Linked DNA regions of Anolis sagrei. The protein of the gene in region 4 purifies or fractionates together with the protein of the main gene of each other region. This does not show direct contact. Links are inferred from orthologs where the notes say so. Each region holds a gene or a part of one and is shown on either strand. Other genes may lie near its edges.

What was found.
Region 1: the proteins of PDHA1 (region 4) and DLAT fractionate together in Homo sapiens (co-fractionation; 3 studies listed by BioGRID). This does not show direct contact. The link is inferred for Anolis sagrei from reciprocal best matches to the Homo sapiens genes PDHA1 and DLAT.
Region 2: the proteins of PDHA1 (region 4) and OGDH fractionate together in Homo sapiens (co-fractionation; 3 studies listed by BioGRID). This does not show direct contact. The link is inferred for Anolis sagrei from reciprocal best matches to the Homo sapiens genes PDHA1 and OGDH.
Region 3: the proteins of PDHA1 (region 4) and RAB7A fractionate together in Homo sapiens (co-fractionation; 3 studies listed by BioGRID, with this or other methods). This does not show direct contact. The link is inferred for Anolis sagrei from reciprocal best matches to the Homo sapiens genes PDHA1 and RAB7A.

Annotation. Positions count from the first base shown.
Region 1 is NC_090027.1:40,398,240-40,406,094, forward strand, and holds the start of DLAT (dihydrolipoyllysine-residue acetyltransferase component of pyruvate dehydrogenase complex, mitochondrial), read left to right. Parts: upstream 1-4,841; 5' UTR 4,842-4,978; coding exon 4,979-5,233; intron 5,234-7,262; coding exon 7,263-7,364; intron 7,365-7,661; coding exon 7,662-7,786; intron 7,787-7,855.
Region 2 is NC_090027.1:15,081,365-15,088,868, reverse strand, and holds the start of OGDH (2-oxoglutarate dehydrogenase complex component E1), read right to left. Parts: upstream 3,447-7,504; 5' UTR 3,342-3,446; exon of another isoform or gene 3,319-3,341; intron 1-3,318. UniProt on the Homo sapiens protein: 2-oxoglutarate dehydrogenase (E1o) component of the 2-oxoglutarate dehydrogenase complex (OGDHC). Participates in the first step, rate limiting for the overall conversion of 2-oxoglutarate to succinyl-CoA and CO(2) catalyzed by the whole OGDHC.
Region 3 is NC_090022.1:56,362,582-56,370,889, reverse strand, and holds the start of RAB7A (ras-related protein Rab-7a), read right to left. Parts: upstream 3,360-8,308; 5' UTR 3,172-3,359; intron 1-3,171.
Region 4 is NC_090023.1:88,917,655-88,924,932, reverse strand, and holds the start of PDHA1 (pyruvate dehydrogenase E1 component subunit alpha, somatic form, mitochondrial), read left to right. Parts: upstream 1-3,883; 5' UTR 3,884-4,053; coding exon 4,054-4,122; intron 4,123-7,278. UniProt on the Homo sapiens protein: The pyruvate dehydrogenase complex catalyzes the overall conversion of pyruvate to acetyl-CoA and CO(2), and thereby links the glycolytic pathway to the tricarboxylic cycle.

The DNA.
Region 1 (7,855 bases), on a different chromosome or scaffold from region 4:
CTCAGTTCCCTTTCCTTTTCAGCCTCGGCAGCCTCAGTCCCTTTCCTTTCCCCCTCGACAGCCTCAGTCCCTTTCCATTCCCTCCTTGGCAGCCTCAGTCCTTTTCCTTTTCACCCTCGGCAGCCTCAGTCCCTTTCCTTTCCCCCCCTCGACAACCTCAGTCCCTTTCCTTTCTCTCCTCGGCAGCCTCAGTCCCTTTCCTTTTCACCCTCGGCAGCCTCAGTCCCTTTCCTTTTCACCCTCGGCAGCCTCAGTCCCTTTCCTTTCCCCCCCTCGACAGCCTCAGTCCCTTTCCTTTCTCTCCTCGGCAGCCTCAGTCCCTTTCCTTTTCACCCTCGGCAGCCTCAGTCCCTTTCCTTTTCACTCTCGGCAGCCTCAGTCCCTTTCCTTTTCACCCTCGGCAGCCTCAGTCCCTTTCCTTTCTCTCCTCAGCAGCCTCAGTCCCTTTCCTTTTCACCCTCGACAGCCTCAGTCCCTTTCCTTTCTCTCCTCGGCAGCCTCAGTCCCTTTCCTTTCTCTCCTCGGCAGCCTCAGTCCCTTTCCTTTTCACCCTCGGCAGCCTCAGTCCCTTTCCTTTTCACTCTCGGCAGCCTCAGTCCCTTTCCTTTTCACCCTCGGCAGCCTCAGTCCCTTTCCTTTCTCTCCTCGGCAGCCTCAGTCCCTTTCCTTTTCACCCTCGACAGCCTCAGTCCCTTTCCTTTCTCTCCTCGGCAGCCTCAGTCCCTTTCCTTTCTCTCCTCGGCAGCCTCAGTCCCTTTCCTTTTCACCCTCGACAGCCTCAGTCCTTTTTCTTTTCCCCCCTCGGCAGTGGCGGGAGGGGGGGGGGAGGAAGCGGCCTGAGGCTGTTAGGAATGGTGGAATGGTGGGAGTTGAGGTCCAAAACACCTGGAGTGCTGAAGTTTGCCCAAGCCCGCTGTAGAGAATGCTGGGATGTTTCCCGCTGCATCCTTTGAATGCCACTCTCTATGGCTCTTGTAATTAGTTTTATTTTACTATCAAGGTACGACAGGATCTTTAAAAAACGGTTTTATATTTCTCCAGCGAGTTCTTGTATAGGCATTTTATGTGTTGTTCCTCTAGAAAGAGCGGTAGTGCCTTTCTAACCTGTGTCCGCTGTTAGCATTCGGAGCGTGGTCTTCGTCGTCATTCGGAACAACTGCAAGACTGAAAAGGAGGGGGGAAATTGTTCCTTTCTCTAAGAAGAAGGGGAAAAACCCCTTACTTCCTTTCGTGGAATTAACTGCCAGTTTCTCTGTTGCATGAGTTTTTGTACATTGCGAAAGACAGCATGGAGTTAACTTTACGGAAACGAACGAAATATTGTCTGGTTTTCTTCAACAAGGGTTACGTGCTTCAAGGTGTTTTTAAACTGCATGTCAGTTGAGTTCATTCTTCCATTTTGTAAACACAAGGCAGGATGGTGGTCATTTCAGAAAAGGGCTGAGCAATCCTGCACACAGTTTACGACTTTAAATCCCATGGATTTTGATGCAACCAGCCCAAGATTTTGCAGGACATTCACTTAAGACCTTTCAGCATTCATAAAGTTGAAGCAGTTATAATCTTCGCCTAAGATCTTCGATTTGTCAAAGGCTTTTATGGCCGAATCACTGGGTTGCTGTGAGTTTTCCGGGCTGTATGGCCATGTTCCAGAAGCATTCTCTCCTGCCGTTTCACCCACATTTACGGCAGCATCCTCAGAGGTTGTGAGGTCTTGTCGAAGGCTTTCATGGCCGGAATCACTGGGTTGTTGTAGGTTTTTTCGGGCTATATGGCCATGTTCTAGAGGCATTCCCTCCTGACGTTTCGCCTGCATCTATGGCAAGCATCCTCGGAGGTAGTGAGGTCTGTTGGAACTAGGAAAATGGGTTATCATGAACACAGTACAATATCAGTGCTATACATCACTATATTGTATTATACAATTATATTGTAATATTATTAGTAATATTACATGTAATATAAAATATATAATTTTATTATTATTATTATACTATATGGTGTTGCAGTTTTGAATTTTTAAATTATTTTTACAAGGCCATTAAATGCTAATCAAGGTGGCCAATGGGAACAATCAGGTGGAAACAGGGGCAGCTCACACCTCCCAACATAGGATTCCCCCAGACAGGAAGCAGCCAGGATTTGAAGCTGCAAGGCCATTAAATGCTAATCAAGGTGGTAGTTGCCTCAAGCAGACAAGAGCTCTTTTTCTCTATAATGCCCACTTGCCTAGTTTCCAACAACCTCTGACATAGATATGGGCGAAACGTCAGGAGAGAATGCTTCTGGAACATGGCCAGACAGCCCATAAAACTCACCGCAACCCAGTGATTCTGGCGATGGAAGCCTTCAACTACACATAATGATATTTTGCCTAATACCTTTGGTTTGTTTATTGTATCCCTACAGTAACACCAAAGATATAACCTTACAGTGAATTTTCAGCACTGGAGGATCCAAGACCCTTGTTCTGAATCTTATATATGTGCAAAAGCCTTGTAAGTCGCAGGTTTATCAATCCTCTTCTTGTCGTCTTTGCAGAGTGAGGTCAGCATGGATTATTAATTGGACCAACGGGCAATATGCATTTTTAATGAAGAGGGAATGTTCTCGTTCTTTTCGTCTTTGCGGCTGATTTGTTTTGCTTCCTTCTGCAATTCCTTTCTGGGTCCGTGTCCTTGCAGAACCAACATTGCAAACGTTCCATACCAGGCTTGGGCAAACTTTGTCCCTCCGGGTGTTTTGGACTCCAACTCCCATAATTCCTAACAGCCGGTAGGCTGTTAGGAATTGTGGGAGTTGGAGTCCAAAACACCCAGAGGGCCAAAGTTTGCCCATACCTCTTCTATACTCTTCTGTTTTGCCTAGAAATATTGTAATTGCAAAACTCTTTCTCTGTGACCAAGAAGGACCTGGACCTTGTTTGTGTGCCGTTGACCGTTGGACGTACTTTTGACCCAAGGACAAAGACTTTAAAGGAAAGGAACTTTTAATAAAGTCTTCAAAATAAGCCTGGTTTGTTTCATTACTACTTCTATAGGCCCAGGAGTCTTTCAAGGAGGTCCACAAGTGATTGTGGAGACCTGTTCTGGATCCACATGATGGTCTTTCACTATGAAGACATACATTTCCAGAGGGAAGGTAATATCAACAAGGGTTTGCTTGAGGAACCTTCTCAGGACGTTTCTCCCTTTGGCCCTCAATCCTTCTCAAAATCCTAGCACAACTGACTTCCAGTTAGATTCTCAAGGGCCAGGATCTCTCTATGTTTTTGGTGTTTATGTCACTTCACTTAGGCAATCCCTCGTTGGCTGAGTAGTATAGTCAGTGTTCTGGTGGGTCTGTAGGTGACTGTGAAGCCATATTCTTGACCTGCATCGTCTCCTGCAGTGAGGACATTGGTTTCCAGGTGGAAAGCAGTCTCGGTCGGGATTGTCTTGACGCGCTTTCCTCTTGGTATGTTTCTCTTTTTCGCCCTCCATTCGTGCCTCTTCAAATTCTGCAGCACTGCTGGTCACAGCTGACCTCCAGCTGGAGCGCTGAAGGGCCAGGGCTTCCCAGTTCTCAGTGTCTATGCCACAGTTTTTAAGGTTGGCTTTGAGCCCATCTTTCAATCTCTTTTCCTGCCCACCAACACTCCGTTTTCCGTTCTTGAGTTCGGAGTAGAGCAACTGCTTTGGGAGACGGTGATTGGGCATCCGGACAAAGTGGCCGGTCCAGCGGAGTTGATGGCGGAGGAGCATTGCTTCAATGCTGGTGGTCTTTGCTTCTTCCAGCATGCTGGCATTTGTCCGCCTGTCTTCCCAAGAGATTTGCAGGATTTTCCGGAGGCAGCGCTGATGGAATCGTTCCAGGAGTTTCATGTGAGTTTTTAGAGTTTTTTAATACTGGTAGCCAGGTTTTGTTCATTTTCATGGTTTCCTCCTTTCTGTTGACATTGTCCACATGTTTCTTGTGGATTTCAATGGCTTCTCTGTGTAGTCTGACATGGTGGTTGTTGGTGTGGTCCAGCATTTCTGTGTTCTCAAATAATATGCTGTGTCCAGGTTGGTTCCTCAGGTGCTCTGCTATGGCTGACTTCTCTGGTTGGAGTAGTCTGCAGTGCCTTTCATGTTCCTTGATGCATGTCTGGGCAATGCTGCTGTGTTTGGTGGTCCCTATGTAGACTTGTCCACAGCTGCATGGGATACGGTAGACTCCTGCAGAAGTGAGAGGATCCCTCTTGTCCTTTGCTGAACGGAGCATTGGTTGGATTTTCTTGGTGGGTCTGTAGATAGTTTGTATGTTGTATCTCCTCCTCAGCTTCCCTCTACGGTCAGTGGTTCCCTTGATGTATGGCAAGAACACTTTTCCTCTGGGTGGGTCTTGGTCTCGACTCTTGTGGCTTGTTCTCGGTCTTGCAGCTCTTCTGTCTGAAGTGGAGTATCCATGCTGGACCACACCAACAACCACCGTGTCAGGCGACACAGAGAAGCCATTGAAATCCACAAGCATGTGGACAATTTCAACAGAAAGGAGGAAACCATGAAAACGAACAAAATCTGGCTACCAGTATTAAAAAACTCTAAAATTACAACAGCAAAACAGCAGAGAGGAAACAAACAAGGACATCTAATCACCTCTCAACAAAAGATTGCTTCAGGCAAAATACATAAATATCAACAGTCTTGTGTAGCAATGGCCCTAGTGTCAACAGTTGCTTTGGCGCGTGCGCAGAAAAGCCCTCCGCCAGCCGCGCCTGAAAGGCACAGGGAGGGCGCGGCTTCCGCGCATGCGCCTGGAAGACTCGGGAAGCCCCGCCCACCTCTCCTTGGTTCCTTTACGGCCCCCTGTTTTTGCGGCAGTGTCGTGCGCCCTCTGCTTCTTTCCGGGAGGCACAGCCAGAGAGACAGGAGAGGGAGGTCAGTTAGAGAGCGGAGGCGGCGAAGGAAGCAAGGCAGGCGAGGGCCGGGCGTGGGCCTAGTCGCCGAGGGGAGCGATGTGGCGGGCGCTGGCCAGGCGCGTGGCCCGGCAGTGCGCGGCCCCGAGGCGGGCGGGGGCGAGCGCGGGGGAGAGGGCGCGGGGCCGCGCTTGGGCCCACCACCAGGCCTCTGCCTCCGCCTCCTCCTCGGCCTTCTCTTCGCCTCCTTGGGGCGGGACGGCGCTGCTGCTTCTCCCTCGAGCCGGAGCCAAGACAGCCGGGCCTCAGGCCGCCCCTTCCCGGCCCTGGAGCACCTACCCGACCCACCAGAAGGTGACACTTGGGGGCTCTTCTGAGGGGGAAAGGGGGCCAAAGACGATATTGACATTTGAGAGCAGGCATGGGCCAGCTTGGCCCCCCCCCTCCAAGCAAAACAGCAGAAGGAAAACAATCAGCTAATCACCTCTCAACAAAAGATTGCCCCAGGCACTGCCAGGCCATCCAATACTAATCAAGGTGGTCAGTTGAGACATTCACACGCATTCCAGGCAGGAAACAACGAGGGCCAGCTAACACCTCCCAAGCAAGGATTCCCCCAGGCAGTAAGAAGCCAGACCTTGAAACTGCTAGGCCATTAAATGCTAATCAAGCTGGCCAGTGGCAACATTCATGCTTGCTTCAAGCAGACAAGACATTGGGTTGTTGTAGGTTTTTCCGGGCTATATGGCCATGTTCTGGAGGCAATTTTTTCTCCTGACGTTTCGCCTGCATCTATGGCAAGCATCCTCAGAGGTAGTGAGGTCTGTTGGAACTAGGAAAATGGGTTTATATATCTGTGGAAAGACCAGGGTAATGTTTCAGCTGATCACCTTGATTTGCATTCAATGGCCTGGAAGCGCCTGGGGGTAATCTCTTGTTGAGAGTGATTTTATGTGCCTGTTTGTTTCCCCTCTGTTGTTTTGCTGTTGTAATTTTAGAGTTTTTTTAATACTGGTAGCCAGATTTTGTTCATCTTCATGGTCTCTTCCTTTCTGTTGAAATTGTCCACATGCTTGTGGATTTCAATGGCGTCTCTGTGTAGTCTGACATGGTGGTTATGAGAGTGGTCCAGCATTTCTGTGTTCTCAAATACTATGCTGTGTCCAGGCTGGTTCATCAGGTGCTCTGCTATGGCTGACTTCTCTGGTTGAAGTAGTCTGCAGTGCCTTTCATGTTCCTGGATTCGTGTTTGGGCAATGCTGCTGCGTTTGGGGGTCCCTACGGAGACTTCTTGGCCACAGCTGCATGGTACATGGTAGACTCCTGCAGAGGTGAGAGGATCCCTCTTGTCCTTTGCTGAACGTAGCATTTGTTGGATTTTCTTGGTGGGTCTGTAGATCGTTTGTATGTTGTGTTTCCTCATCAGCTTCCCTCTGTGGTCAGTGGTTCCCTTGATGTCTGGCAGGAACAATTTTCCTCTGGGTGGATCTTCATCTTTACTCTCGTGGCTTGTTTTTGGTCTTGCAGCTCTTCTGATGTCTGAGGTGGAGCCTCCATTGGCCTGGAGAGCCCAGTTGAGGTGGTTCAGTTCATCTTGGAGGAGGTGGGGTTCGCCCTATAGCACGAAAAAACCCACAAGTACCTAGTGATTCCAGCCATGAAAGCCTTTGACAAGACAAGACATTATTCCACGGGTATACAAACCCCACTTGCCTCGTTTCCTACAGTCCTCACAACCTCAGAGGATGCCTGCCATTGATGTGGGCAAAACGTCAGAAGAGAATGCTTCTGGAACATGGCCTGGAAAACTCACAGTTTTTGCAGTTTAGTAAATTTTCCCCATGTTTTTATGATAGTCCCAATTAGGAAATGACATTTACAACACAGGAACAAAAATTGTGTTGTGTAGTGTAATCCATTGCCTGGTTCTGGGCAATGCAGTTCAAGGAGGAAGGAGTCTGGAGAAAGGTCACGCAAATGACAGAAAGTTTGTAAACCCTGCATCCCCCTGAGGAGAGGCTTAAGGAGTTGGGGATGTTTAGCTTGGAGAAGAGAAGGTTGAAAGAGGATGCGATGGCTATGTTTTGGTGTTGAAAAGTAGGAAGAAACAGGCTTCCTTTCTGCTGCTTCAGAGACTAGGACACAATGGAGTCGCGTATTCAAACTGCAGGAAAAGAGATTCCACTTAAACATTAGGAAGAGTTTCCTGATAATGGCATTCAGCGGTGGAATATGCTTCTACCTGGGAATCCTATTTTAAGCAGAGGCTGGATGGCCCTCTGTTAGGAGGGCCTGGGTGTGTCTTTGTTCCTGGAAGAAGGGGTTGAAATGTGTGGCCTTTGGGGTTCCAACTTTCTCCCCTTGACCCCTTTCCCCTTTGCAGGTGCCTTTGCCCGCTCTCTCGCCCACAATGCAGATGGGGACCATCGCTCGGTGGGAGAAGAAGGAAGGCGACAAGATCTGCGAAGGGGACCTCATCGCAGAGGTAACCTGAACATGTTAGACCAGGTATGGGCAAACTTTGGCTCTCCTCCAGGTGTTTTGGACTTCAACTCCCACAATTCCTAACAGCCTACCCAACTCCCACAATTCCTAACAGTTTTGGACTTCAACTCCCACAATTCCTAACAGCCTACCGGCTGTTAGGAATTGTGGGGAGTTGAAGTCCAAAACACCTGGAGGAGAGCCAAAGTTTGCCCATGTCTGAGTTAAAGGGTCTCAATTTGCACCTGAGCATTAGCATTACAAAAGCTGTAACCACACTGCTTTTCTGCCTCTGAAGGTGGAGACAGACAAAGCAACCGTAGGGTTCGAAAGCCTCGAAGAATGTTACCTGGCTAAGATCCTGGTGCCAGAAGGAACGCGGGACGTCCCCATTGGAGCCATCATATGCATCACTGTCGACAAGTGAGTACAATCGGGAGCGTCTTTTGAAATATGCTTTGTTTACTACTCTTTATTTACATTTCTGACTCT
Region 2 (7,504 bases), on a different chromosome or scaffold from region 4:
AGAGGGAATGAGTATGAAGAGTTCAAATCGGTATGCAGGCATAAAGCCACTGGAGAACCTTGGATCAGTTACTTAAAATGATTTTCAAACTTCACTAAATGTTTTTATTAATGGCTTCAATTTAAAGAGTTGTTGCTCACCCACTGGATGGCCCTGGGTAAGTCACATTCTCTTGGCCCAGAGGAAGCAAAAAACCAACATGGAACAATTCTTTCCAAGGAAAAACTGTGAAAGGTTTGTGTTATGCTCGCTGTAAATGGGAAATGACTTTAGGGCAGTTTTGAGGGCAATGGCTACACTCATCTTCAAACATTTATTTATTGTCGAAGGCTTTCATGGCTGGAATCACTAGGTTCTTGTGGGTTTTTTCGGGCTATAGAGCCATGTTCTAGAGGCATTTCTCCTGACGTTTCGCCTGCATCTATGGCAAGCATCCTCAGAGGTAGAGGTCTGTTGGAATTAGGACAATGGGTTTATATATATATCTGTGGAATGGCTGGGGTGGGGCAAGGAGCTCTTCCCTGCTGCAGTTAGGTGTGAATGTTCAGCTGATCACCTTCATTAGCATTTGAAGGCCTGCCTGCGCCTGGGAAAATCTGCTGCTGGGAGGTGTTAATCTGTGCCTGGTTTTTTCCTCTCTGTTGTTTAGCTGTTATAATTTTAGAGTTTTTTAATACTGGTAGCCAGATACTGGTAGCCAGATACTGGTAGCTGAACATTCACACCTAACTGCAGCAGGGAAGAGCTCCTTGCCCCACCCCAGCCATTCCACAGATATATATAAACCCATTGTCCTAATTCCAACAGACCTCTACCTCTGAGGATGCTTGCCATAGATGCAGGCGAAACGTCAGGAGAAATGCCTCTAGAACATGGCTCTATAGCCCGAAAAAACCCACAAGAACCTAAACATTTATTTATTTAATATAATTATTAGGAGCATTTCTGTCCTGTCCTTCTCGCCTCCGAAGAGGGACTCAGTACTGCTACCAACAGGCATCATTCAGTGCCAAACAACAAAAGAAGCACAATATACAATTAACCTATATTAAAAACAATTATAGATACATTAAAACAGTTCGCCATTTCACGTCATCTTCCAAATCAAACATATTAAAACAATATACAGTAATGAGGAAAGGCGTCTGTGGTGTCCAAGCAGTAGAATGGTTTTTAATTAGATATATCTGGTACCAAACTTGATACCATTCTGGACATTCCACATATATATAAACCCCACTTGCCTAGTTTCCAACAGACCTCACAACCTCTGAGGATGCCTGCCACAGATGTGGGTGAAATGTCGGGAGAGAATGCTTCTGGAACATGTCTATACAGCCGGGAAAACTCACAGCAACCCAGATTTTAAAACTGTTTCATTTTTTAAAATCTGTGATCTGTTTTGTATCCATTTAATCCGTTTAATCTCTATTTTGTGTATTTTAATAGACATTTTATAGAAATACGTTTTAATATGTAACTTTTGTAGAAATATGTTTTAATATATGTTATCTGTAGCGTTCCTGCAATGTTTATGTGTTTTAATTTTTCTGTAACCTACTTTGAGCCATGAAGTGAAGTAGGTAAGAAGTCATTTTGTTGTTGTTGTTGTTGTTATTATTATTGTCCACCTGTCTTCCCTCTCTGAGAAACTCCAGAGCATAAACAGTAAAAGTTAAACTATACTTAGGGCTCTTACACAGTCATATAACCCAGAATATCAAGGCAGAAAATCCCACAATATCTGCTTTAAACTGGGTTTATTTGAGTCCACAATGTATAGTATTGTTTAGTCCAGTGTTTCTCAACCTAGGGTCCAAGACCCCTGGCAGCCCCCGCGAGAGGTGTCAAAGGGGTCATCAACGATAATAAGAAAACATGGTATTTTCTGTGGCCATGGGGGTTCTGTGTGGGAAGTTTGGCTCAATTCCATTGTTGGTGGGGTTCAGAATGTACTTTGATTGTAGGTGAACTGTAAATCCCAGCAACTACAACTCCCAAATGTCAAGGTCTATTTCCCCCAAACTCCACTGGTGTCCATTCTTGGGCATATTGAGCATTTGTGCCAAGTTTGGTCCAGATCCATCATAGCTTGAGTCCACAGTGCTCTCTGGATGTAGGTGAACTGCAACTCCCAAACTCAAGCTCAATGCCCACCAAGCCCTTCCAGTATTTTCTGTTAGTCATGGCAGTTCTGTGTGCCAAGTTTGGTTTGATTCCATGGTTAATGGAGTCCAGAATGTTCTTTGATTGTAGATGGACTATAAATCCCAACAATTACAAAATGACCAAATTAACCTCCTACCCCACTAGTATTCAAATTTGGGCGTATTGGATATTTGTGTCAAATTTGGCCAAGTGAATGAAAATATATCCTGCATATCCGATATTTGCACTGCGATTCATAACAGTAGCAACATTACAGTTATGAAAGTACAGTTCTAGTTATGAAAGTAGCATTAAATATCATTTTATGGTTGAAGGTCACCATAACATGAGGAAGGGGTTGCAGAATTAGGAAAGGTATTGTTTTTATGTTAATTAATTTTAATGTTTTTTATTTGTTGTTATTGATTGTTTTTATTGTGTCTGTTTTATTGTAATCCTGGGCTTGTCCCCTGTAAGCCGCCCCAAAGTCCCTTCAGGGAGATGGGAGGCGGGGTATAAAAATAAAGTTATTATAAGGTTGAAAAACACTGGGTTAGTCCTATTTTTAACGGTAATTCTCAGCTACATTTATCCAGCACCTACCAGTTACCTCAGGCCTGGGTCAACTTTTGCCCTCCCTCCAGGTGGGCCAAAATCCACCATTCCTAACAGTCTCAGTCCCTTTCCTTTCCCCCTCAGCTTCAGGCTCCTTCCTTCCTTCCCCCCACCCCCTCAGCTGCTTATGGTCCTGTGGCTGTTAGGAATGATGGGAGTTGAAGTCCAAAACACCTGGAGAGAGAGCCCAAATTCATTTGTATATGAAACATAAATCGGTGTTATCTTCACTATATGTTGTGCCCCGCCTCGAGCTGTGAGGAGAGAGGGAAGAACAAATGAAATGGAATATTACTGGAAAGAACTCCAATAATAAGCCGGAGGGGATGGAGATCTAGTAGGCCAGACCCACACGGCCCACAGGGGCACACAAGAGCCCGAGCAGGGGGCTCCGGCCTAGCCAGGCCCGCCTCTCACCTCCCTACGGAACCCGGCGCGGCCCAAACCCGCCCGCGAAGGACACTTGTCCGGCCCCCCTGAGGGCGACTTCCCTTTCGCGGCCCTTCCCTTCCCTCGCGCCTCAGCCTGGCCCCAAACCGCCTCAGGCCGCGCTACCTGCCGCCGGCGCCTCGACCGACCTTCCTTCCTGCCTCCTTTCCCCTCAGGAGGATTCCGAACTGGGCTTGACAGCGCCAACCGCCGGCTCCGCCTCTCTCGCTTCCGGGCGCCTACGTGCTTACGTCATCAAGCACGCCAGGAAACCCTAGACTAGACCTTTTTGTAAAACAATAGAGTGAACTCCACGTTTAGATTTAGAGCAGCCACCGGCCAAGTTGGGCTCTAGCTCCAGGAAACCCTAGACTAGAGATTTGAAAAATTTAGAGTGAACTCCACGTTTAGATTTAGAGCAGCCACGGGTCAACTTGGGTCCTCTTTCCAAGAAACCCTAGACTAGAGCTTTTTTTAAAAATAGAGTGAACTCCACGTTTTGCTGTTAGGGGATTTAGAGAAATCAACTCGAAAGTTTTGGACTTCAAGTCCCACAATTCCTAACAGCCTCAGACCACTTCCTTTCCCCCCTCAGTCTCTTAAGCTTAGGGGAGTTGGACAAGAGTCCCCAACATCCCCAAACAGGTTCCTCTACGGCTCTACAGGGCCCTAATGCCGGTCCTTTTGCCGCCGCCCAGTGGAGACATCAGGAATTGCTGTTCTGCTCCTTCCTTGAAACCGCAGAGGCGCTTTTCACCCAGGACTCCGCGACTCCAATGTACAATCCTTTGCTGCCATCAAGTGGCCAGATTGGGAAATGGCAGCCCTTTATTATATTTTCCGCAAAGCCACTCCTTCATTGAATCCATATATATATATATAAGGAGGGAGGAATTTATTTATTTACAATATATATATACCGCCTTTCTCACCCCTGGGGGGACTCAAAGCGGTTAATAAACAATCAATCAATCAATCAATCAATCAACAATAAACAAACCAACAAACAATCAGGGCCAGCTAGGTAAAGATAAAGGTTTTCCCCTTACTTTATGTCTAGTCGTGTCTGACTCTGCGGGTTGGTGCTTATATACATTTCTAAGCCAAACTGTTGTTAGACGATCCCTCAATGTCTGAGTAGGATTGTCTTCCAAGATTGGTGGATGCATAGGTGACTGTGGAGCCCTATTCTTGATCTGCATGTTCTCCTGCAGTGAGGGCATTGGTTTCTAGGTGGTAGGCAGTCAGTCCCGGTCAGGGTTGGCTTGATGCACCTTCCTCTTGGCACGTTTTTCTCTTTCGCCCTCCATTCGTGCCTCTTCAAATTCTCCAGCACTGCTGGTAACAGCTGACCTCCAGCTGGAGTTCTCAAGGGCCAGGGCTTCCCAGTTCTCAGTGTCTATGCCAGAGTTTTTAAGGCTGGCTTTGAGTCCATCTTTCAATCTCTTTTCCTGTCCACCAACATTCTGTTTTCCATTCTTGAGTTCAGAGTAGAGCAACTGCTTTGGGAGACGGTGGTCGGGCATCCGGACAACGTGGCCGGTACAGCGGAGTTGATGGCGGAGGACCATCGCTTCAGTGCTAGTGGTCTTTACTTCTTCCAGCACGCTGACGTTTGTCCACTTCTCTTCCCAAGAGATTTGCAGGATTTTCCGGAGGCAGCGCTTACATTTCTAAGCCAAAGAGTAGCAATAAAAACAATGTTATGATTGGGGGTCACCACAACATGAGGTATTAAGGGGTTGTGGCATTAGGAAGATTGAGAACCACTGCCATAGCTGGCCAGTTTTCTAGGTATTTGTAACATCTGCAAGAAAAATCTGTCTTTTTTAAGACTTGGAGACATCCCCAAAGTGTGCCAATGTCTTTAAATATTTAGTGTCACATATCATTAGAGTAAGGCATTATATAATTAGCCCTTGCAAAGAGAGCACCATCTAGCGAGCGCATCTAACACTAATGAAATAATTCAAAAGCTAAAAGACTGTATAGGGAATTTAAGTCTAATACCCACTGAAGTGTGGCTTGATCCTTCTCAACCCAATGGCCCTCCATGCAAAATTGTACACACAAGACAAAATTATATATACATTATATATTGGTTTTACTTGTTTCATGAGAGGGTAGAGTGAGGAGATGAGGGCAATAACCAGGGTTTTTTGGGGGTGGGGGAAATGGGTTTCCTATGTCTGTATTAAAAACAAGTGCAAAGTCAAATCTCGTAGTGAGTTAAGGTTTGTTCAAAGGTGCTGCCTTCCAGACTTTTGAGGCTTGCTTAGAATGTGTTTCTTTGCTTCTATATACACATACTAGCTGTCCCCTGCCATGTGTTGCTGTGGCCCAGTCTAATGACCTTGGTGAAGGGAGTTGGACTGGATGGCCTTAAGTATTTTCTATTGGTCATAGGGGTTTCTGTGTGGGAAGTTTGCCCCAATTCTATCATTCGTGGGGTTCAGAATGCTCTTTGATTTTAGGTAAACTATAAATCCCAGTAATTACAACTCCCAAATGTCAAGGTCTATTCCCCCCCCCCCCCCCCAACTCCATCTGTGTTCATATTTGAGCATATGGAATATTCGTGCCAAGTTTGGTCCAGATCCATCATTGTTTGACTCCACAGTGCTCTCTAGATGTAGCTGAACTACAACTCCCAAACTCAAGGTCAATGCCTATCAGTACCCATGTCATGGGAGTCCTGTGTGCCACGTTTGGTTCAATTCCAGCATTGGTGATGTTAAGAATGCTCTTTGATTGTAGGTTAATTATAAATCCCTGCAACTACAACTCTCAAATGACAAAATCATTTTTTTGAGTGAAAAACATACATTGAGTTGTTAAGTGTATGCTGTCCAAATTTGGTGTCAATTCGTCCAATGGTTTTTTGAGTTATGCTAATCCCACAAACGAACATTACATTTTTATTTATATAGATGTGGTCACGAAATGCATGTACTATATACCTATTTTCCCCCCAGAGGATTATGTACTCCAAACCACCAGCGTAAGAATACCCCGGTTGTTCAGGATTTGGGATATTAGCCAGAAGTTCCTTTTCCTGATGGGCAACATGCTACTAGCAAAATCTCGAAATGCTAATATGCCAGGTAACTACTGCAATTCTTTGGCTCTGTGTTTTCATCTCAACCTTCTACTTGTCCAGAGTCAATACTGGAATGCATGCATACATTCTTGGGCCGGACTGCTGACCAAAAGGTCGGGGTTCACATCAGGGTAGCGGGGCGAGCTCCCAACTGTCAACTCCAGCTTCCCATGCAGGGACATGAGAGAAGCCTCCCACATAATGGTAAAACATCCGAGTGTCTCCTGGGCAACGTCCTTGCAGACAGCCAATTCTATCACACCAGAAGCAACTTGCAACTTCTCAAGTTGCTCCTGACATGAAAAAAGATTAAATAGACACTCCATGTTGCTAATTCTCGCTTGAGCTTCTCTAAACGTTATAAAACAATTGCAGACTTTGGACTTTCCAAACAGATGATGATACCTGGGATTTTGAGAAAAGTTGGTTTGTTTGTTTGTTTTTAAAAAATGGAAGTTTGCAAATGTTTGAAAGACACTACTAGATTAAGATTACCTAACCCTGCCTCATGATTTGAGGATTAAATGCTTGCTCCAGGGAATCTTTTGAGCAGAATACAAAGGCTTGTTTGTAAACTCCATGGTTTTCAGTAGTAAATGCCCACATAACTTGGCAGTTTTATTTTTCTTCCTCAAGCCACAGCTATCAGCTTTTTGATTTTTCTGGATATTTGCAAGTCTTAGGTGAATCCAGAAATTTGAAAAACTGCAACTACTTCCAAGGACATACAGAAAATTCCAAGGTAAACGACAGCTGTCCTCTAAAATATGCTTATTATGTTCTGGCAACATTCCCTTCTGCAGGCTTCATTTACCTGAATCAGTAAAGGGAATCAGCACTTTTATGGGGTTTTTTTTCCATGTCAGATAGAGTTAGTGAGATTTTTTTTCATGTCAGGAGCGACTTGAGAAACTGCAAATTGCTTCTGGTTTGAGAGAATTGGCCTTCTGCAAGGACATTGCCCAGGAGACGCCTGGATACTTTACCACTCAGTGGGAGGCTTCTCTCATTTTCCTTCATGAGAAGCTGGAGCTGACCCCCATAAGAGATAGTAACTTATAGTTTTGCTAAGGACAAAGACAATAGGGGTCAAGTCTTGGTCAATTTACAAAGACACTAACAACAACAACAGGGACCCTTCCCATGTCAGATAGTGTGTACATTTAATCAGTGCCCTATATTTCACCGCTTTGAGTTGCCTGAGGGCTGAGA
Region 3 (8,308 bases), on a different chromosome or scaffold from region 4:
AGAAGGAAACTTAACACAAAAGGAGATGCACGTAGATTTCACTTATAAATACACACTTTAAGCAAAAATCAAACAAAGTTCAGATTAATATAACCTGCCATTTTATTTTTATTTTTTTGCTATTCCTTTTAAAGCAAGGTGTCCTAGGTGATGTCAAACTCCTGGTCCATGAGCTCAGTAGTCAATCTTTTGATGACAAGCAACTCTAGAATATGATAAAAGCCTTTCCCATCACTGGCTACCAATATGCTTTTTAACTGAAGATTACAAGAATTGAGCTTGGGACTTTCCACTCACAAAAGCACATGCTCTGTAGCTCTGTTGTTCCATGATAGCAGTTCCAGATGTACTTCATGATTTCTCTAGATTATGCTCCATCTTGTTTCAAGAACTATCAAGTTATAAAACTAGATCTCAATATAAAATGCATACGCTATTTAAATGACTTCTTTGTTCTGATGCTTAGAATTTCAAGGGCAAGTAGAGTACCATCAAACATATATTAGAGACACGTATTAGAGACGATATATTCAAACACAAATTAGAACCATACAGCCTGAAAAACTCACAACAACCCAGTGATTTCAGCCATGAAAGCTTTCAACAACATATATATTAGAGACCTTTCTTGTTTGTGTTTAAGACCCTTGGGTGGAAATGTTATAAATAGGGAATTAGATTGCTATAGAGCTCCCACATGCTATTTGCCATGATTTCTGAAGTAAAAGTGACAGGCTGCATTGCTGGCTTTATTCAAAACTACTTGTTGGCATTTTGGTGATCTCTTTACCTAGACAAACTGTAGTTAGCCATCCATGAACTAAATCATGTGCTTTATCAGCTGCTTCAATCACAAGGGAAGACAGTATGCTTGTTCTTCCCAACTAAGAGGGCATGGCTAAGAACAGGGAAAGTATCTAAACTCCTCCTACCATTAATCAAGTTTTACTCCTCAGCAGCGGAGCAACGAAATTAAAAGCACACTCTGAAAATCTGTGAAGTTTACAAAGATCAGTGAAATTACACATGTAATATTTAAAATATAACACATACACAAGAATACTTGGACTACTGAAGTGAATTTAAGCAAGCCAAATTTAAACCTGGCTTACATTTTATTATCTGGCATTTGACAGTCATTTGTTACAAAATCAGTTGGAAGGGCAACTCATTTTAGTTTCAGTAATTTCCACTAAATTCTTAGAATTCAGCATGCTTCCAGGATTCATTTGCCATGCTTAAATATTTAAATCTTTACAAAAAGGTACAGAAAATGCTAGTCTGATAAGAACTTTCTCCTACTCAGTTGCACATGCGTGCACACACTATTACCAAGATAAATCCTGTTCTGTCCAAGGACATTGATGAGTCAAGACTTGGAGTACTCTTGGACTCTTTTGCAGTCTTGACCAATACTAGTGAATACTCAGAAAGGCAGCACACTTACAAGTTACATACTTGGAAGAGATCAAGCTTTGTTTGCTTTTCCTAATTTAATCAATGATCTCATGTTTAACCAGTAAGATAGCATCAAGTTGAAGGACCCAATGGTTTACCATTTGTGCATTCTGAGTAGATTCTAGCAATATATTATTACCCTTAGCTGTCCTTGTGCGTACCAGAGGCATTCCAGAATTGTCCACAAACATACTACCTAACCATTTATATGAATCACTAGCCATCCCCTGCCACGTGTTGCTGTGGCCCAGTCTGTGTATAAGTGCTTTTTGTGTGTATATGTATGCATTTGTGTATATGTGTGGTTTTGTGCATGCATTGTAATTGGGGGTGGGTGGGTGCTTTTTAAGTCTCTTCTGTGTTTTTCAACATTTTTATGAGTGATGGTCACTCATTGGACTAATACGTGTATTGTGTCCAAATTTGGTGTACATTCGTCCAGTGGTTTTTGAGTTATGTAAATCCCACAAACTAACATTACATTTTTATGTATATTGATAATCAATGTAGGCTTACACATAAGTCTTCCTACTATACAATGGGACAAGCTTGCTTATAAGACCGAGCGACCAAAAAAAATACCATTCAGGAAAGAGTACATTTACCTCAGGTGATTATTTACACAGGGAGCGGACAAGAAAGTAATCCTCAGGAGATGGTTTCAATTTCAAACTTCCCGAAGTAATATGACACCAAGGTCAAGCACTTTGGCATGAACAAGGCAGACGACTAAGGCCCCTTCTACTCTTGACTATTTAATGAAGTTGGAAACTAGCTTCAAACTGCGGAGAGCAAACAACAAAGCCCCACAAAAGCGTGCGAAAGAAACCTCTTAACGCTGAGTGATCTGTGTAATCACCATCCAGGCCTCGAAGTGGCTCCTGGATTTCCTCTGTAATCGTCTGCACAGCGAAACCACTTTCTTCAACACCGGTTGGAAATGGATTTAAGTGATTACTAGAGATGGGGCATGAGAAACAAAGGCGTGTTACCTTACCTTTGAACTCTTCAACCGGGAGCGACAGGAAGCGTTATTGTTTTGCCTGCAGGGAAGGGCTGGCGGGAGGGGACCAGAAGGGGGAAGGGAACCTACTCGGGCCGGGCTTTCTCGCCTTTCGGTTTCGGAGGGCCAAGGTCTAAGTCACACTCAGGCCGCTTCTACACAGCTGTATAAAATCCACATTGAACTGGATTATATGGCAGTGTGGACTCAGATAACCCGGTCCAAAGCACATATTGTGGCTTATCCGTCTTGATATTCTAGGTGATATGGCTGTGTGGACTTCAAAGGTATCAGGACGAGCACGGGGCTCCACCCCACATCTCTTTGTGTCGGGGGAGAAAGAGGAAGAAGCTCGCTCCTCACACCAAAATCCCTTCCGGGAAGGCCGCCTCCCTTTCGTTTTCCCTCCGGAGCTGCCGTGAGGAGGCAAGGAACTTCCAGAGCGACTCCTGCCTCGGAGAGAGAGCCAGGGCGGGGCCCGGGGCCGCTCTCTCCTCCCTCCTTGGCAGCCGAGGCAGAAGGGCGGCCTGAAGCGCCGAGGGAGCCGCGCCCTCCTCCTCCTCCTCCTGCTGTCTCCCAAACAAGCCCCGCTGGCGCTGCCTGGGCCGCACACCCAAGGCCGGGCCCACCGGGACGCCAAGCCTCGCTTAGCCCCACCCGCCAGGCCTCCCTCCCTCGTTCGCTCCCTCCCTCCGCCGCCCTTCCCTCACCGTCTCAGGGGGCCCGGAATCCTCCTCCTCTTCCTCCTCGGTGGCGACTTCTGTGGTAACTCAACAACAGCAGCAGCAGCAGCGGTGACAACCTCCTCCTCCCTGCGCCGCTCAGGTCCGCTTTAATGGGGCCAAACACCCTCCCCGTTTTCACTTCCGTCTCTCGCTCGCCCTCTTCCGGTCACGAGACCCGCCCGGCGTGCCGACGCGCCTAGTGGGCGGGGCCACGCCGGGAAGGCTTTGGGTTCCTCTGTCGCAAGAGGGTGGCCGCTCTGCCCCCGCTTCTGTCTATGGTGCCGCCTCGCTCACGTGACTCCTCTGTCAGTGAAGACAAAAGAAGCCGCTCTCTTAGTCCATCCTCAGGAATGGCTTGAGCTGCCAGGACTCCATGCGGGGGAATCCTGGGAGTGGGAGTTTGGCGAGGCCAAGAAGACTAAAGACGGTGTAAAACTACAACTCTCATGATTCCACAGCACTAAGCCAGGGCGGTCACAGTGGCATCAAACTGTACTAACTCTGTATTGTCGAAGGCTTTCATGGCCGGAATCACTCAGTTCTTGTGGGTTTTTTCGGGCTATATGGCCATGTTCTAGAGGCATTTCTCCTGACGTTTCGCCTGCATCTATGGCACGCATCCTCCTCTGAGTTGGGCTAGGTGCCCTTTGTCTCACCCTGGTCATCCCACAGATATATAAACCCCCTTTTTCCCAGTTCCAGCAGACCTCACCTCTGAGGATGCGTGCCATAGATGCAGGCGAAACGTCAGGAGAAATGCCTGTAGAACATGGCCATATAGCCCGGAAAAAACCCACAAGAACTGAATATACTAACTCTACTGCAGGCATGGGCAAACTTGAGCCCACCAGGTATTTTGGACTCCAACTCCCACGATTTCTAACAGCCTCGGGTCCCTTCCTTTTTCATAGAATCATAGAATCAAAGAGTTGGAAGAGACCTCATGGGCCATCCAGTCCAACCCCCTGCCAAGAAGCAGGAATATTGCATTCAAATCATCCCTGACAGATGGCCATCCAGCCCCTGCTTAAAAGCTTCCAAAGAAGGAGCCTCCACCACACTTTGAGGCAGAGAGTTCCACTGCTGAAAGGCTCTCACAGTCAGGAAGTTCTTCCTCATGTTCAGATGGAATCTCCTTTCTTGTAGTTTGAAGCCATTGTTTCATGTCCTAGTCTCCAGGGAAGTAGAAAACAAGCTTTCTTTCTCCTCCCTGTGGCTTCCTCTCACATATTTATACATGGCTATCATGTCTCCTCTCAGCCTTCTCTTCTTCAGGCTAAACATGCCCAGCTCCTTAAGCCACTCCTCATAGGGCTTGTTCTCCAGACCCTTGATCATTTTAGTCGCCCTCCTCTAGACACATTCCAGCTTGTCAATATCTCTCTTGAATTGCTTCAACTGCTTAAGCGGCTGAGAAGGAAAAGGAAAAGGCCCGAGTCTGTTAGGAATTGTGGGAGTTGGAATCCAAAACACCTGGAGGGGCTAAGTTTGCCCATGGCTGCTCTATAATAACAATAAGCTTTATTTATGCCCCGCCACCATCTCCCCAAAGGGGACTTGGGCGGCTAACATGAGGCCAAGCCCAAAGATACAATACAGCTCAATAAAATACAGAATGCAGACAACAAAAATATACATCAGAATAAAATACATACAGTAGCAAAATAAAATAAAGCAAACTAACATAATATAAAATCGAAAAGAATGGGCAGGCCAAATGGATGAGGTAGAATGATAAAACCCTGGATAGGATAGGAATAGAAAATATGTAATTGAGGGGAGCCCAAAAAGGATAAACAGTAGGGTAGTTTTCAGTTTAGGACGGGGGGGGGGGGGGGAGTGCGTCATAGAGACAACACTATAGATGAAGCAAACAGAAATGGGATAAATGGTCACTCTCCAAAGGCACATCAAAAGAGCCACGAATTCAGGTTTTTCTTGAAGGCTGCTAAAGTGGGGGCTTGCCTAATCTCACCTGGTAGTGAGTTCCAAAGATGGAGAGCTACAGCTCTACAGTGTAGATGCACCCTATGGCATTGTAAGAAGGGATCTAGCAGCCCAGTTCAGGCTAGTAGTTTTATTTGTTATTTATTATACACACACATACATACATAGTTTATAATAATAAACTTTATTTGTATTCCCACCCCCTCTCCCCAAAGAAAGTTGGGACAGCTCACAACACAAAAAATATACATAATATCAAACAAAAGCCTGTAAATAAAAAAGAAAACAATAAATATCGTTAAGCATAGTTAAAACAACTAATGGCCGCTAAACCCACCAGTATAAATATCAAACAGTTTAATACATTATACTTTGTACTTTATTTTTGTCTTGTCTTTCTCTCAATATTACTACCAAAGGCACCAAACAATGTAAACACATTAAAATATCAATGTACTTTAAAAAAAACCACTGTGTGCCATTAACAACATTGAAATAATTGAATTCTTTGTGCCATCAAACTATTAATAATTATAATTATAATTATAAACTGCTCTCTCTCCCCAAGGGGACTCAGGGCGGTTTACATACAAAAAGGCAAACATTCAATGCCATAGGAAAGCAAATACACACAGATTAACCTAATACAAATAACATCAATAAACTTATAACTAAAAAGATAATTGAATTACTACTAATAATAATAATACAAATATTTAAATAAAACATGATTACACTAATAAAACATAGGTCCAATAAAAATATGTAAAATATTCTAAAACATTAACATTCCACATTGACCCAAAATCCCAGTCACACCATCCCTAGCAGCCTACCTTTCATCAGTCCAAATTATATATATATATATATATATATATATATACACACACACACACACACACACACACACACACACACACACACGCGTGCACACACACACAACACACATACATATACACATGAGCCTTTTGTAAATAATAATATCTGTCCACATCTGCGTCCTTCAGAAAGATGCAAATCCTGGCCCTCTGTCCTAAATCTTCAAAAGACTGCATGGGGAAATTTGGGTCTTTTGGGTCTTTACAACATTGATCTGTGAAATTGGGAGATTTCCTTTGTTATATTTCCAGTTGTGGGGATTCATGTATTGTGTTATAAAACTATTTTCTTTATTCCTACCTCTGCTAATAGATTGCAGATTGTGAATGACATTCAATTGCTCTCACCAGTCACCCGTTGTGATTTCTTTCTTCAAGAATTGCTCCTTGAAAATCCTATACAGGCTGAGCATCCTTTAGCCAGAATTCCAGAAACCTCCAAAATCATGGTTGAGATAGTAACACTTATGCTTTGTGATGGTTCAGTGCATACAAACTTTGTTTCATACACAAAATTTTAAGAAAGACTATACAATTATTTTCAGGCTATTTATATATAAAGGTAAATGAATTTGTTTAGAATTGGGTCTTATCTTCAAGATACCTCATTGTGCATATTATATTCAAAATCTGAGTAAATAATTCAAAAACCAAAATGCTTCTAGTCCCAAGCATTTCAAAGAAAGGGTATTCCACATATACTGTTTGACCAGGAAAGTAGAAATCTATTACATTATCTCTCACTCCCACAGATCTGTAAATATGCTTAACAACCTGAGGCTTTAAGATTACTAGGGATGCATCTGCACTGTGAAATTAATGCAGATTGGCTACACATTTACTGCCATGGCCAATGCTATGGAATCCTAGGATTTGGTGACAGGGAAGGCTAAAACTACAATTGCCATTATTCCCTAGCATTGAGCCATTGAAGTTCAAGTATCAAACTGCCTCTTATGTCATAGCAGCTGAACAAATGGATTAATATTCATAAAATGTCATGAAAAATATAAACCAGTCAGTCTTAAAAGGTGCTGCTAGATTCCCCCTTTGTTGTCCCATTCCCCCCAATCTTCTCTTTATCACTGTAATTATGATAAGTAGATCATAAGCCAGGTAAGATCATGGATAGGCTGATTGATTTTCCCATGGATCCTGCAGGGAACTTTACTGAATCCTCACTGTCACAAGTTTCCAAGGGGCACTAGTACTTGCTTGCAGCAAAACCAAGAGAGATCCCCATGACACCTATACAATTAATAAATTTATTATAGCATATGCTTTCAGGAATTAGAACTGACTTGGTCAGATACATGCAGTGTTGATTTCAGCCTCAATTCATTTAGTAGACCATAAACCCCCTTAAGCAGTGCGGAGCCTAATACTGTACCTAGTGAATGCTCTGTAAAATAAACCCCTTGTTTTCACCAGGATTTCTTTTGCAGTCAGACTGCTGTCTTGCTTGGCTTACAAAACCGTAGTGCTCCACTGATCTGTTGCATTACAACGGAGACATTGAATGTATGTGTCTCTCATAGAGTGGTGCAATTTTACTTAAAAGTCCAGGGGTCACTGCTGGTTGAGTCAACATCTCTACAAATTGTCGCTTAGAGTTTACACTATAGAATTAACGCAGTTTTGCAGCAAGTTTCCCGCCATGGCTCAGTGCTACATCCTGGGAGTGGTAGTTTGTTCAGGCACCAGCATTCTTTCGCAGAGAATGCTTAGAAACCTTATAAAACTGCAACTCCCATGGGTCTATAGCAATGAACCACTGCAGTTAAAGTGGGGTCCATCTGGATTCATTCTACAGTGTAGATATGCCCTTAATTCTCTCTGCAAGTAATTTAAGTCTCAATCCAGCAAACCAAGCACATGTAACAGGTTGTCATTAATCTGGAGTTGCCCATGCTCATGGAGGAAAAAGCCAATTGGCTATTATGCTGATGATGGAAGCTTTAATTAGGTTAAACCTTTCTCATGTGAGAACATGAATTAAACAGGACACATGTGGTGCAATTCTAACTTAAGCATTTAAATCAGTGGTACTTACTATTGAGTAAATAAATACACAAAGCATTGCATTGTAAGAACAGACACACACATTACCATTCAAAAAAGGGTTATACCACCAAGAATGTGGTGCTAAGATTTTAATCAAAACGTGTTTGTATGCTTTAGTTGGATTATTATATTTATGTATACCCTGCTTTATCTCCCCAAAGTGGCTTGTCTATGATATGTTGGCTCTGATAAGTATAATTTCTGAAAATATATAGTATTAATTTCTTGAGGTC
Region 4 (7,278 bases):
CACAAACATCCCAGGGAGAAGCGCAACAGAGTCCTTGCGACCCTGGAAAAGGTGGGTAGTGGTAGGCTCCTTGGCAGCCCCCTTGGTCTTAAGGTCCTGCTGATTAATGCCAGATCCGTTAATGGTAAGACCGCGGCCATTCAAGACTTGATCCTGGATGAGAGGGCGGATCTGGCATGCATCACCGAGACCTGGCTGGACGAGCTGGGGGGTGTAAATCTCTCTCAGTTATGCCCACCAGGTTTTGGAGTGCATCAGCAGGCCAGACAAGGGGGGCGGGGAGGAGGGGTCGCAGTAGTCTTTCGGCAATCCATCGCCGTGATCAGATGCGCTGTCCCGCAGGCTTCCGGGTTTGAGTGTGTCCACTTGAAAGTGGGGAGCCGTGACAGTGTGGGGTTCCTGCTGGTGTACCGCCCACCCCGCGACCCAGCAGCTTCCCTGTCTGAGCTAGCGGAGGTGGTCTCTAATTCGGCCTTGGTCTCCCAACGCCTGGTGGTGCTGGGAGATTTTAACATTCACGCTGAGACCACCTTATCTGGCGCAGCTCAGGACTTTATGGCCACCATGACGACCATAGGACTGTCACAGATAATATCTGGCCCCACTCACCAAGCTGGACATACTCTTGACCTTGTCTTTGTGATGGACAACGAATTGATCAGAGTGGAAGATCAAAACATCCTTCCTGTGTCATGGTCTGACCATTATCTGATCACTTTTAGACTTGCTGCGACTCTTAACCTCCGCAGGGGTGGAGGACAAATTAAAATGGTCCGCCCTAGGAGACTGATGGATCCGGATGGATTCCTGAGGAATCTTGGGGTTCCTCCTGCCCTGGAGCTTGGCGATTCTATCGACGCCTTGGTAACTCTCTATAATGGGGAGATGTCCAGGGCATTAGATATGATCGCACCCGAACGTCCCATCTCGTTGCGTCGTGACAGGCCATCTCCTTGGTTCACCGAGGAGCTGGCTGTGATGAAGCATACGAGAAGGGGGCTAGAGCGCAAATGGAGGAAATCTCGAGCCGTCTCTGATCGAGCACGGGCTAAAGCCTCTCTTAAGGCATACTCCGTGGCTATATGGGGGGCCAGGAAATCGTTCACGACCTCCCGTATAGCGTCTGCTGCAAATAGATCATCGGAGCTGTTTCGGGTCGTGGGGGAACTCCTCCATCCTCCTGTGGTGGAGGAGGTCACTGATGACCCAGCAGCTAGGTGTCGCGATTTCGCACACCATTTTGCAGGTAAAGTCGCCCAGATACGCCTTGAGCTCGACTCCAATTCCATCGCAGTGCCAGAAGAGGTGACGGAGGCATCTGCTTGTCTGACTTTGTGGGATTCTTTTAGGCCTGTTCTTCCTGAAACCGTAGAGGAGATTCTTGGGGCTGTGAGGGCGACCACCTCATCTCTAGACCCATGCCCATCTTGGCTCATCAAATCAGCCAGGGAGGGGTTGCTTGATTGGTTTGTATTGATTATCAATGCATCGTTGGAGCAAGGGATTTTTCCATCTAATCTGAAGCAGGCTGTGGTTCAGCCACTCCTCAAAAAAGCTTCCCTTGACTCCACGGTGCTGAGTAACTACAGGCCAATCTCCAACCTCCCTTTTCTGGGTAAGGTGCTGGAGCGGGTGGTCGCCTCGCAGCTCCAGAGCTTCTTAGACGATACCAACTACCTAGATCGGTCACAGTCTGGCTTCAGGCCTGGTCATGGTACCGAGACAGCCTTGGTCGCCTTGGTGGATGACCTCCGCAGAGAACTGGACAGGGGGAGTGTGACTCTGCTGGTTCTCTTGGACATCTCAGCGGCTTTCGATACCATCGATCATGGTATCCTTCTGGGTCGTCTCTCTGGGATGGGCCTCGGGGGCGCGGTTCTGTCGTGGCTCCGGTCCTTCCTGGAGGGACGGACCCAGATGGTGAAGCTGGGAGACGCCTGCTCTGACCCCTGGCCTTTGACCTGTGGGGTCCCGCAAGGCTCCATTTTGTCGCCCATGCTTTTCAACATCTATGTGAAACCGCTGGGAGAGGTCATCCAGGGTTTTGGAGTTGGGTGCCATCTTTATGCGGATGACACACAACTCTACTACTCCTTTCCACCTAACTCCAAGGAGGCTTCTCGGGTGCTAGACGAGTGCCTGGCCGCTGTGTTGATCTGGATGAGGAAGAACAAGCTGAAGATCAATCCCGACAAGACAGAGGTCCTCCTGGTCGATCGTAAACCGGATCGGGGTATAGGATGGTTACCTGTGTTGGACGGGGTTACACTCCCCCTAAAGCCACAGGTCCGCAGTTTGGGTGTCCTCCTGGATTCTTCGCTCACACTTGAGGCTCAGGTGTCGGCGGTATCCGGGAGGGCCTTTGCGCAACTGAGACTTGTGCGCCAACTGCGACCATACCTCGTGAAGGCTGATCTGGCCGGCGTGGTCCACGCCTTGGTCACCTCTAGAATGGACTACTGCAATGCGCTCTACATGGGGCTGCCCCTGAAGATGGCTCGGAAACTTCAATTGGTCCAGCGGGCAGCTAGGATCCTAACTGGGGCTCCTTATCAAGAGAGGTCTACCCCTCTGTTTAAGGAGCTCCACTGGCTGCCATTTATTTTCCGAGCCCAATTCAAGGTGTAGGTGCTCACCTACAAAGCCCTAAACGGTTTGGGACCACCCTACCTGCGTGACCGCATCTCCATCTACGAACCCACACGCTCGCTTCGATCATCTGGGGAGACCCTACTCGTGATCCCACCTACGTCGCAAGCGCGCTTGGTGGGGACACAGGACAGGGCTTTCTCTGTGGCGGCCCCCCGACTTTGGAACGCCCTTCCAAAAGATCTCCGACAGGCCCCTACTCTAGCTGTTTTCAGAAGGAATTTAAAAACTTGGCTATTCCGTTGTGCCTTCTCAGACTAGGAATCCCCACCCCAAGTCCTAGTAGCACCTTAGCATAACTAATCGTCGCTGCACACCGCACTTCTAATCCTACGTGCCTCCTGCCATTTCAGCACTTTTAACCCTTGTACCCCATTGCGCCGGCCGAACCAGTTTTAATAATGTCTTGATGTACTGCCATTGTCGTTATTTTGCTTATTGTTTTGATTTGCTTTGTTATTGTTGTGCTATGTTTTCTATTGTATTGTGTTTTGAGGCTTCGGCCTGTGTAAGCCGCATCGAGTCCTTCGGGAGATGCTAGCGGGGTACAAATAAAGTTAATAATAATAATAATAATAATAATAATAATAGATAGAGATAGATGTATAGATGGTGGGTTAGGTAGACAGACAGACAGATAGTGGGTAGGTAGATGGATGGATGGATGGATAGATAGATTAGATAGAGAGAGGGGTGGGTAGATGAATGGATGGATAGATGGATGGATGTATAGATGATGGGTTAGGTAGACAGACAGATAGTTGGTAGGTAGATGGATGGATGGATACATTAGAGAGAGAGAGGGTGGGTAGATGGATGGATGGATGTATAGATGGATGTATAGGTGGTGGGTTAGGTAGACAGACAGACAGATAGTGGGTGGGTAGATGGATGGGTGGGTGGTGGATAGATAGATCGGTGGGTGGGTAGATGGATGGATGTGTGGGTGAATGGATGGATAGATAGATAAATAGATAGGTAGATAGACAGATAAATCGGTGGGTGGATAGATAGATGAATGGGTGGGTGGATGGATAGACAGACAGATCAGTGGAGGGAGGGAGGGAAGGAGAGAAAGAGAGAGAGCTATCTCGTCTCCAGAGGAGTCAGTCATTGTCGGCGGGCTCCGCCAGGGGGCAGTAGAGCGAGAGAGAGCGAGCGGAAGAGCGCCGCTGCCGACACTTCCTCCGCTGTCCTTCTGAGCGGAGCTCCTCGTCGGCCGGGTTTCCGCGGAGGAGGAGGAGGAGGAGGAGGAGGAGGAGGGGAGGAGGGAGGGAAGAAGAGGTTGAAGGAGACTCGGCGGCCTTGCCTTCCTTCCTTCCTCCGGTGCGCGGCGGGGCTGGGAGCAGCCGAGGGTAGAGCAGGCCGCGGCGTGTGTATGTGGCGGTGAGCGCCCTGCCCTCCATGCGCAAGATGCTGGCCGCCCTTTCCCGCCTGCTGCTGCTGCCCAAGGGCTCGGCTGCCCACAAACCGGTGAGTGAGCGGGGGGAGGCGGAGGGCAGAGGGCTCCCCGTGACTGACTGACTGACTGACTGACTGACTGCCTGCCTGCTTCCCAAGGCCACGTGCCAGGGGCGCGAGGCGAGGGGGAAACGGGCACTCCCGAGGGGGCGCGTGGCTGACAGCTGGGGTCGCGCGCACAACAACGGGGGGAGGGGCGACGCGGGGAGGTGAGGAGGGAGGAGGCCGCGCCCTGTAGAAGAGTTCTCTCCCTCAAGAGCTCTCTGCCCTCCTCTGAGGCAGGCTTGGGCCTTCAGTCGTTTCTGACCTATGGCGAGCGAACCCTCTCCTCCACCTTCCCCTCCTCCTCCTCCTTGGCAGAAAGGGGTTTGCCCTTGCCTGTCTCTGAGGCTGAGAGAGTGCGGCTTGCCCGAGGTCACCCGGTGTCTTTCCTTGGCTCCTCAGAGTGCCCTTGAGGTTTCTGCTTACACTGTCAGCGCTGTGGAGCCACGGGAGTTTTGGCTTGCGCTTTTTGAAAGGCAAGGCTCAAGGCCATGCAAAACGACCACCCCCAAGACGCCAGGGCAGTTAGGAATGGGGCCCAACTGGATTGGTTCTACAGTGAAGATGCACCTGTAGTCCAGCGCTCAAACTGGCGCCCATTTATTTATTTATTTGTCGTGTCAGGGCAACTGGTGCCCATAAGAACACACAGTCCCCTGGAAAAACCAACAATGCTTGGTTATTTAGAAAGCTGTACAGAAAAAAGGCAGATGCTGCAGACAGATAGATTGTTACTGCATAGAGTTACGACCGTGTTGGCTTCCCATCCAGCTACTAGCAGGGCCAACCCTGCTTACCTTCCAGTGGCTGCTGGATTTTTGTCATTATCTCCCATTAGGTTGTGTTGTCCAAAGCTTTCATAATCACTGGGTTGCTGTGAGTAAATGCCCAGTAGAGTTTTTTCTGCCAGCCATAAGTCAACCTAGTGGCAGGGTTGCTGCAAGTTTTCCGGGCTGTATGATCATGTTCAAGGAACATTCTCTCCTGATGTTTCACCCACATTATGGCAGGCATCCTCAGGGGTTTGAGGAGTCTGTTGGAAATGAGAATGCCTGCCATAGATGTGGGCGAAATGTCAGGAGATAATGCTTCTGGAAAATGGCCATACAACCTGGAAAACTCTCAGCAACCCTGCCATTAGGTTGACTTATGGCTGGCAGAAAAACTCTACTGGGCATTTACTGCTTAAGACATACTAAATATTTATAGACTTATTGTAAATCAACAGGTGACTAAAAGCACACAGAAATTACAGAATGGGAATGGAAGAAACAATATTCCTTCAACAATACATTGAGATTATTAAGAATAGTTTTGGCCATAACTTCATAACCACAGATGTATTAAGAATATTCTCCTTTCTAAAGCACAATAAGACCCTAAGCTCTTACAAAGAGCAGTACAAAATAAAACATTATACTAACACAATACAGATATGCCTACTTTGTACTATGCTTCTTGCAACACATTAATATTGCTTTGTGTCTGAGTCTCCAGTTTGTGCCAAAGGACATGGAAGTGGCTTTCTGGATAATCAGGCTGCCATATGGCATCACATGTTTAAGGGTAAAATAAAGGCAAACATTCCACACTACAGGAATAGTATTTCTTGTCTCAGAAAACCCTATGAAATTAATGGGGTTGCCATAAGTTGACAGACGGAGGCATACACACAGGTGACCAATATAAAGAGAGCACAGGTGTCTTCCCACTCCTTTCCATATTTGTGGAGAGGAAGCTGTCTCTTTTCAGGTATGTCTTTTTGCCCAGTTTCTGTTTTGATATAGTTGCAACACTGCTGCCCTACTTGTGTCTGTCTTATTTCAATGCAGTGGTTCACAACCTTTTTTTGACCACTCTCCAACAGTAGTACCAAATGGGTTACAAATCGGGTTTGGGTCAAGTGTAGATTTGGTTTGGTTATTTGGGGTACTAATTCAGAAAATTGCATTGGGCAGACCACATCAGCTCTAGCTTCTGATGCAAAACATATGTCATCCAGTAGTCACCATTTGCTTGCCCACAGAAAACCATATTTAATAATTTATTTATTTATTTATTATTTACTTTGCTTCTATACCGCTGTTCTCAGCCCGAAGGCGACTCACAGCGGTTCACAGTCAGTAAAAACAGCAATAATTCAATGCAACATATAACAACAATTAACAACTTAACACATTACCCGCTCAGTACACAATTACTACCATAACCAAACCCAATCGTCTTATCGTCAAAAACATAATCCAGATTCGTCATCCATTGTTCATTCCTATGTTCATTACCAATCATTGTACTAGTTATTCGAATGCCTGCACACACAGCCAGGTCTTCAGTTTTTAGGGAATACCATGAGAGATGGGGCCGATCTAATGTCCATGGGAAGGGCGTTCCACAGCCGAGGGGCCACCACCGAGAAGGCCCTATTTCTCGTCCCCACCAACCGTGCTTGAGAAGCCAGCGGGATCGAGAGCAGGGCCTCCCCAGAAGATCTCGAAGTCCTGGTGGGTTCATAGGCAGAGATGCGGTCGGAAAGGTATCTTGGGCCGGAACCGTTTAAGGCTTTATAGGCCAATGCCAGCACCTTGAATTGAGCCCGGTAGCTCATCTAGAGCTCATCTAGAGCTGATGTGGTAATAATAATCTTTCATGGGTAGTCAGCCTCTCCCCTCCCCATATCCCTGTTGCCTCTGCACTATAAGAGAGTTTCGCAGGACCAGTCACTCTCATTGTTGCGTGGCTTCGAGGCAACAGTGTAGTAAGTGAGACCACAGACCATATTTTCGTTCATGGGGACCACTGGTGGTTCATGGACCATAAATTAGGAATCGCTGCTCTAAGGTAATAATATTGGTAAGATGTAATAATGGCCACAAACCATATTTTCATTGTTGGGGACCATTGGTGGTCCATGGACCACAGGTTGGGAACCACTGTTCTAAAGAAATAATATAAGGTGAAATGTTGGCCACTATTTTTTTGTTTTTTATTGGGGGGTTTTGGGGGGGGGGGGCTGGGTGGTGGTGGTTGTAACCTAAACCATCAGGGAAAGAAAACAGTAACCCAAAACCTAGCATCAGAACCTAACATCAGGAATTTACACATTTACAGAGCACATTCACTCAGACA